Drosophila melanogaster: one gene and its partner. The protein of the gene in region 1 purifies or fractionates together with the protein of each later gene. This does not show direct contact. Each region holds a gene or a part of one and is shown in the gene's direction. Other genes may lie near its edges. The genes, in order: TfIIFalpha and CG8117.

Evidence for each region.
Region 2: the proteins of TfIIFalpha (region 1) and CG8117 purify together in Drosophila melanogaster (affinity purification with mass spectrometry, with the first as the bait; one large-scale study listed by BioGRID). This does not show direct contact.

The regions. Positions count from the first base shown.
Region 1 is NT_033777.3:6,378,452-6,383,365, forward strand, and holds TfIIFalpha (transcription factor IIFalpha), read left to right. Parts: upstream 1-2,015; 5' UTR 2,016-2,144; coding exon 2,145-2,168; intron 2,169-2,234; coding exon 2,235-3,154; intron 3,155-3,230; coding exon 3,231-3,818; intron 3,819-3,876; coding exon 3,877-4,078; 3' UTR 4,079-4,153; downstream 4,154-4,914. Other genes in the region: CG1024 (uncharacterized protein), read right to left, coding at 19-1,503, 1,567-1,713. UniProt on the Drosophila melanogaster protein: TFIIF is a general transcription initiation factor that binds to RNA polymerase II and helps to recruit it to the initiation complex in collaboration with TFIIB. It promotes transcription elongation.
Region 2 is NC_004354.4:15,642,563-15,645,663, forward strand, and holds CG8117 (uncharacterized protein), read left to right. Parts: upstream 1-1,659; 5' UTR 1,660-1,728; coding exon 1,729-2,217; 3' UTR 2,218-2,429; downstream 2,430-3,101.

The DNA.
Region 1 (4,914 bases):
ACTTTAACTAGACTATACCTAAGGCTTTTCACGTTGCATCGTCTTCCAGATGGCGTTCATTCGCATGTGCCCTTCTCGCAGATGGTTCAACAAGGCTTCAACGGTCCCTTCGACTGACTTGCCAGCTCCAGATCTCCTGCAAGAGGCAATGTGTCGTTCGTAGCGCCATTTGCTCCTAAAGACTCTGTCACAGTGCTCGCACACAGCTTGCTCGCCCTGATCGTCCTCGGATCCGGCGTCATCCGCCATGGCCGCTTGACCGGACTTGTTGGGACTGGCCCACATGGGCTCCGGCTTAATAAGCAGCTGCGTCTTGTTTTTACGCTGCAGCTCCTCCTGGTGGTTGTAGCGAATGTGATTGAGGATCTTTGAGGTGCTGGTCTTGGTGCGATCGCAGAGTGTGCACTTGAGGTACGACCGGTAGGGCAGATGCTTGAAGCAGTGCTTCTGCAGTTGTGAGCGCACGGTCGTTGGTTGCACCTCACGGCACTGCAGGCACATGGCCTTGCGCCCGGACTCCAGGATCTTAAAACTGTTCTCGATTATGTGCTCGAAGTCGTGCTTCTTGAATACGTGTGCCCGCCAACCGTCCATCGAGGCGATTTCCTTGCCGCACTTCGGACACAAGTACGATATGAGCTTCGTGAGGCCGTTGGTGGACATTTCCGTGTCTGAGTCGCGGCTGGGCGTCGTAGAGATGCGTCGACGCTTAGTCGGTTGACTTATTGGGTCCGACTTCATTTCCTTCTTCAGCTGGGCCACTTCCTCCTTGCCGAGTGCATCGATCTCGATGATGACCACCTCCTGATTTCCTTGCTGCAGGTGCGCATCGTCTTGCTGCTGCTCCTCATTAGCTTCTCCTTTGCCGGCGGAGGGGCCATCATCAAAAAACTCCTTGCAGAGCGCATCCAACTCGTCGTCATACTTCGGCACCACCTCTTTCTCCTCCTTGCGCACGATGTCCTCGTAGGCATTCAAACACCGATCTAGATTCAGCTCGCTGACATTTGAAATGGGCTTAGGTTCGTTTACAGGAGCCGCTAGTGCTGTCACTGGGGACTTTTCCATTTCTGTGTTCAGATCAATGTCCATCAGCGCCTTTTGCAGCAGATCATTTTGCTTTCTGTTCGTGGAACCTTTGGGACGCCCACGCGGCTTCACAGCCATCGGCTTCTCTGCATTTCCAGCTGGTGCGGCCGCTGTAGTGGGTTTCGCCTGCTGCCGCTTCATCTGGCGCAGCTTGTTCTCGTACTTCTCGATCTCCCGCATGTGCGTGTCCAGTAGGTGGACGTTCAGAGCCCGGCGCCTCGTGTACGCCATGCGGCAGTGCACGCAGCGGTAGGTTTCACTGTGCTCCAGATGCATAAAGTAGTGGTACTGCAGGAGGGCGATTGTCTTGTGGGCATTCTCCACCCATTTGAAGCACAGCTGGCACTCATGGAATCGCTCGTCGATCTGGATGAAGTTGAAATCTGAGTACGTCTTCTTTAGATAGTCGTGTTTCTGTGGGCACATTTCAAACCATTATTAAAGCAGAACTTGATTTGCACAAAACCCGCAACTTGCCGTGTTCAGATGCTGTCGCCACTCCGCCTGAGTGCGGAACGCCTTGCCGCATTCCGGACATATGTAAACCATGTGCGCCTCCAGACGCGCATTAAGCCGACTTTGTTCATCCGAGAGCGTCACGTTCCGCGACATTTTCCCTAACATTTAAGCGACAAACTGCAAATGAAATCCAAACAAACTAGACAGCGCTTTGTGAATTTATCGTTATTTGCTATGGCGACAATCGTTTATCTAAAAAGAGGTAATCGATAACCGTGACTGTGAACGGATATCGGCTGTCACTTTATTTTGATAGAACATTACAAAACTTTGAAGTTTTTAAATACCTTGTAGGGCTTGAATATGCAATCTTATAATATCTACTTTTCCAATTTGTTTATCAAAATCTCTTGGAATAAATATTATTTTTCTGCCCAAACGATACGATACACTTGCTTCCAAAGAATAACTGCACTTCTGTTATCGGACATCGCTAGAAAATCCAACTTTTCTGCCCGCGCCGCGAATTGTAAGAGTTTGGGGAAAAGTATAAAATATCCAGATAGAAGCAACATATGATTAGCAAACATTAAGCCATGTCGAGCGCGTCAAAGTCGACGGTAAGTCTTTACCCTGCCGCTTCCGGCGCCAACACTTATTTGCGGTCTTCGCTTGATTTCATGCAGCCGAGCGCTGCCAGCGGGAGCTCCACGTCCGCAGCTGCCGCCGCCGCAGCCTCTGTCGCCTCAGGATCCGCCTCGTCATCCGCCAACGTGCAGGAGTTCAAGATCCGCGTGCCCAAGATGCCCAAGAAGCACCATGTGATGCGGTTCAACGCCACGCTCAATGTGGATTTCGCGCAGTGGAGAAATGTGAAACTGGAGCGGGAAAACAACATGAAGGAGTTCCGGGGCATGGAGGAGGATCAGCCCAAGTTTGGTGCTGGATCGGAGTACAACCGGGATCAGCGCGAGGAGGCGCGCCGCAAGAAGTTTGGCATTATAGCGAGAAAGTACCGTCCAGAGGCACAGCCATGGATCCTTAAAGTGGGTGGCAAGACTGGAAAGAAGTTCAAAGGCATCCGCGAGGGCGGCGTAGGCGAGAATGCAGCTTTCTATGTGTTCACCCATGCACCAGACGGCGCCATTGAGGCATACCCCTTGACCGAGTGGTACAACTTCCAGCCTATTCAGCGCTACAAATCGCTGTCGGCGGAGGAGGCCGAACAGGAATTTGGTCGGCGCAAAAAGGTGATGAACTACTTCTCCCTTATGTTGCGAAAGCGTCTGCGCGGCGATGAGGAAGAGGAGCAGGATCCGGAGGAGGCTAAGCTAATTAAGGCAGCCACCAAAAAATCCAAGGAGCTCAAGATCACTGACATGGATGAATGGATTGATTCCGAGGATGAGTCGGATTCGGAGGACGAGGAGGATAAAAAGAAGAAGGAGCAGGAAGACAGCGACGATGGCAAGGCCAAGGGAAAGGGCAAGAAGGGCGCAGACAAGAAAAAGAAAAAGAGGGATGTTGATGACGAGGCCTTCGAGGAGTCGGACGATGGTGACGAGGAGGGCAGAGAAATGGACTACGACACCAGCTCCAGTGAAGAGTATGTGCCCCAAACGATTCTGATAATGGCAATACAATTTGGACCACATCTACTAATTTCTTATACCCTATTCTAGCGAACCAGATCCAGAGGCAAAGGTGGACAAGGACATGAAAGGCGTGGCCGAGGAAGATGCGCTCCGCAAGCTGCTTACCTCCGATGAAGAGGAGGATGATGAGAAGAAGTCTGATGAGTCGGACAAGGAGGATGCCGACGGCGAGAAAAAAAAGAAGGATAAGGGCAAGGACGAGGTATCCAAGGACAAAAAGAAGAAGAAACCCACAAAGGACGACAAGAAGGGCAAGTCGAATGGCAGCGGTGACTCGTCCACAGACTTCAGCTCTGACAGCACAGACTCCGAGGACGACCTTAGCAACGGACCGCCCAAGAAGAAGGTCGTCGTCAAGGACAAAGACAAGGAAAAGGAAAAGGAGAAAGAGAGCGCTGCGAGCAGCAAGGTCATCGCCAGCAGCAGCAATGCCAATAAATCTCGCTCGGCCACTCCAACGCTCTCGACGGATGCCAGCAAGCGCAAGATGAACAGCTTACCCAGCGATCTCACCGCTTCGGACACAAGCAACAGTCCCACCAGCACGCCAGCAAAGAGGCCTAAGAACGAGATTAGCACATCGCTGCCCACTTCCTTCTCTGGCGGCAAAGTAGAGTGAGTAAAGCCGTGATATACTGGAATTCCTAATTCTAATTTCATGTATTTTGTTTAGGGACTACGGCATCACCGAGGAGGCGGTGCGTCGGTATCTTAAGCGAAAGCCCCTGACCGCCACCGAGTTGCTCACCAAGTTCAAGAACAAGAAGACGCCTGTCTCCAGCGACCGTTTGGTCGAGACCATGACGAAAATCCTGAAGAAGATCAATCCCGTCAAGCACACCATCCAGGGGAAAATGTATCTCTGGATCAAGTAGCCCGCAGTCATGTGATTTTAATGTTTCATAACTCAAATGCATTATTGTTCAACACAAAATATAAACGCACCACTGAAAATCGGTTAATTTTCTTGGTTAATTCGAAAAGGCAAGTAGTATTTTGCACAGAAACTGATTTTAACCAATTCATTGTATTTGTACTTCTAGAATCTTAAAAACTAGTTATTAATGCTATATCTTAGTATTATATTTCTATATGGTTTCAGGTTCTGAAGTTGAGAATTCTAAATTCTGTACAATGATCTGAAACAGTTGCTGAGAATACTGGATTTTAATATTTTTAAAATTTTAGTCGATAGCTATCGAAATATGGGAGTAATCGATGTACGAAAACATCGCCGTCAGGAAGCCAGCAGCAGCTATACATCGATTTAGTTCCAGCTCTAGCCCTGTATATGTGTCTGTGTTCGGGTGGGATGTAAATTCTAATATCCGATAATTAGAAAAGTGAACCAAACCCAAAGCGTTCTTATCGCGACTGTCATGCTCTTTTCGCAGCCACTGCGCTGTCCCCGCTGAACCACGACCACCAACTAAAGGAACCCGAGGAGTCCGAGCCCCAAAAGGGAGCAAAACAAAGTACAACGCAATACCAGTGCGATGGCGACGAGTGAGGAGGCGAGCGAGTGCTGAAAAAATAGGATTGGATACAGGAACTGGCCAGAAGTCGCTCCAAACGGTCAACTAAGAGCACGAGAAGCCCTAATCAAGTGAGTGACCAGTGGATTTACGCGAATGGGCGTCGGGAAAGCAAAAGGAAATCGCTCAGCTGCTTTGTTGTTGTGCTAATTGAACGCACACAAGCACAGTAGCAG
Region 2 (3,101 bases), on another chromosome or scaffold:
AAGAATGCCACGCCGGGGGCGTAGCGGGCGGGTGGGCGTGGCAGTGGGCTGGCTTCGACGGGAGACAAATAGGCAGCGAATGTAACTGCACTCCGGCGATGGGAAACGTTCATCCAGCCATCGATTCAACCATCCAGCCAGGCAGCCAGCCAACCAACCAACAATTGGACTTTAGAAAACTTGGAAAATGCAAATTGATCGAGGTAAATTAGTGGAAAATTGCTGCGTACTGGAATTTAACTATTTAAGTGGGACATTTTAAGTTTTATTCACACATAATTGATGATTCTGCAGGAGTTATTAGTAAATCCTCATCGATCTTCATGTAATCATTCAAATGTTTTGTAATATATTATACATAAACCACATTGTCCAAACTTTATTTACTTATATTTGTGTTTTTTAAGATTTTTCTTCAATTTGATTTAAGATTTTGCAAGAATGTTATCCAAAAGCTAATGTATTTTGAACAGTAGTTTGAAACAGGAACATATTTGAGATATTTTCTTAAATTTTCTTTGGTTGCCCCTCATGTTGGCCACACACTTTCTTTTTATTTTCGCCAATCTGGAGAAATTGATTGGCCACAAAGGTTCAAGGTTTTACCCATTGTTCTGGGGCTTGTTTACCAAGCCAAATACGTTGTTGGCCGAAAGGTGAAAGACAAAAGGCCGCCAAGGTCAGTAATCGGCCGTGAACCAATTCCCCAGACCATTGATAGATAGATACATTTGTATCTTTATATTTGGGTAGCTTCGAATCGATGGCGGCTGTTTACGTTACGCTGAGGTCGTCAAGTTTAACAGTTGAAGGTCGGCGGAGGCGTTTAAAAACGCTAGAAAAACGCGCACGCACAGTGGGACGAAAGCGAAGCCAAGTGGGACGTTGGCAAGCGGGGGTGTGGCTGGGTGGTGGGTGTTTTAGATGTTTGTGTGGTTAAGTACATTAGCAGATTTATATCCGGCAACAATAAAAAGAACGATTCGCTAAAAAGCTAATGACTTGGATAATGATTTCGATTTTGTTTTCAATTTCGCTCGCTTGGGCTTTTTTCCTACTTTTTGTGGCTACCCCCCCCCCCCCCCCTTCGTCACTGTTGTTTGGCTTTTCAATATTTCAATTTTCCATTTCCCATTTTCCTTTTTTTTTTTATTACTCATTTTCCTTTTGTTTTTGGTGCTTCTGCGGGATTCGTGCGTCAATAATTAGATCATCTCCGCGCTGTTTGTTGTAGACGATTAGCGAAATCAAAAGCCAGCGGCGCACAAAGAAAGCGGAACGACAAACACAAACATATAGACTAAATGGGAAATATCATTTCCATTTCGATTTTGATTTTCATTTGTGTTTGGTTTTCCTTTCAGTGTCCAATTTTAGCACATTTCTTGGGGGCCACAGCGGGCGTTATGGAATAGTGATGCATTACGCAGGGGATTCCCAAATCGAACATTTATACATATGTAGATTTATCTATTCAAATTCATACTAATTACATGCTAATCACAACGGTTAAGAAATGATTAAGTAGAAATATTGCATAATAAATCCGAAATATTTAGACCTTAATCAAGTTGGGTTGTAAAGTTGCCGAGTAAAAACCTTCATTTACCTTGCCGTTCCTGTCAGCTTAGACATCTCTCAGTGACCTCTCAACTTCTCACAATCTAAAAATTGTGCTTTCCGGTTTCGTTGAATAAATTCACTAAACTTTCTTTCGATTTTGCAGCCATGTCCATGGAAATACGCATCAAGTGCCGCGAGATGTTGGCAACCGCATTGAAATCGGGCAACATGCCACCAGGATGTGGCGATCCGGATGACATGGCCGCTAAACTGGAGGACGCAATTTACGGCGACTTGAACGGCTGCAAGGTGAAGTACAAAAATCGCATACGTTCGCGTTTGGCCAACTTGCGCGATCCGAAGAATCCAGAGCTGCGCCAGAAGTTCCTATTAGGTCAAATAACGCCCGAAGAGTTATCCAAGATGACGCCCGAGGAGATGGCCAGCGATGATATGAAGCAGATGCGCCAGAAGTACGTTCAGGACTCGATCAATGCGGCACAGATGGCCAAGGTTCAGGGCACCAAGACGGATCAGTTCAAATGCGAACGCTGCGACAAACGCAACTGCAGCCAATTGCATATCCGTGATGGTGACGAGCCCATTATCACCTTTGTGATATGCGACGAGTGCGGCAACCGCTGGAAGAGCTAGACAACCGTGGAGAGAGTCCCTTGAAGGAGTCACCCGTCTTGGCTGGATACCAAGCAAACGAACTCACACAATTCACAATATCTCATATCAATAAACAGACTGATCTTCCGTTGGCTTCCACAATATGTAAATAATACTTTAACAAGAATACATACAACATACAACATACAACATACATATTATGGAAATATATTACATGTCATAAAAATCTTATTCATTCGTTTTAAATACCAGAGGGTATCAATGAGTCCATCATCGATGGATGCTCCTTTGTTCGCCTGCGAAAGCAGATAAACTAGCACCGAAAGTCCGAAAGAAAGCAAATCTTTGTTTCATAAACATTCAACAATATACGAGTTTGCTTGTATAAAAAACGAGCATAGCGCGAGCGTTAATTTAATGAATTTTTCGACTATTAGTTAGCACTTTACACTTTAATGAATCATTCGGCGCGATGATCTCGGAGTGGGTGGGATCGGATGGGATTGAATTGGATTGAATTGAATTGGATGAGATGGTATATATAGTATAGTATACTATGTTTAGTATGCGTGGGTCGTTTCCAAGTGCAGACAAATTATAGACGTTAAAGCATTTGCTTTATGGCCCACATTAACGGCATTGAATGGGATTATGGGTTTGGGATTCAGGTTTGGACTGCGAACTGGGATGATAGGTGGACTCTTGATGGGCACAATGGGAATTGCTCCCCAGAGACGGGCCAATTAATTAATATCCGCCGTCGTAAAGCAACAACAAAATGCAAAAGCGTATCAAGTAAATCGCATTAATTGGCCATTTGGCCAAAAAAAAAAAAAAAAAGAAACCATTAAAAAGAGCTTCAGAGCTCCGAATAAACAAAGTGGAAATGCGCCTTTCCCAGG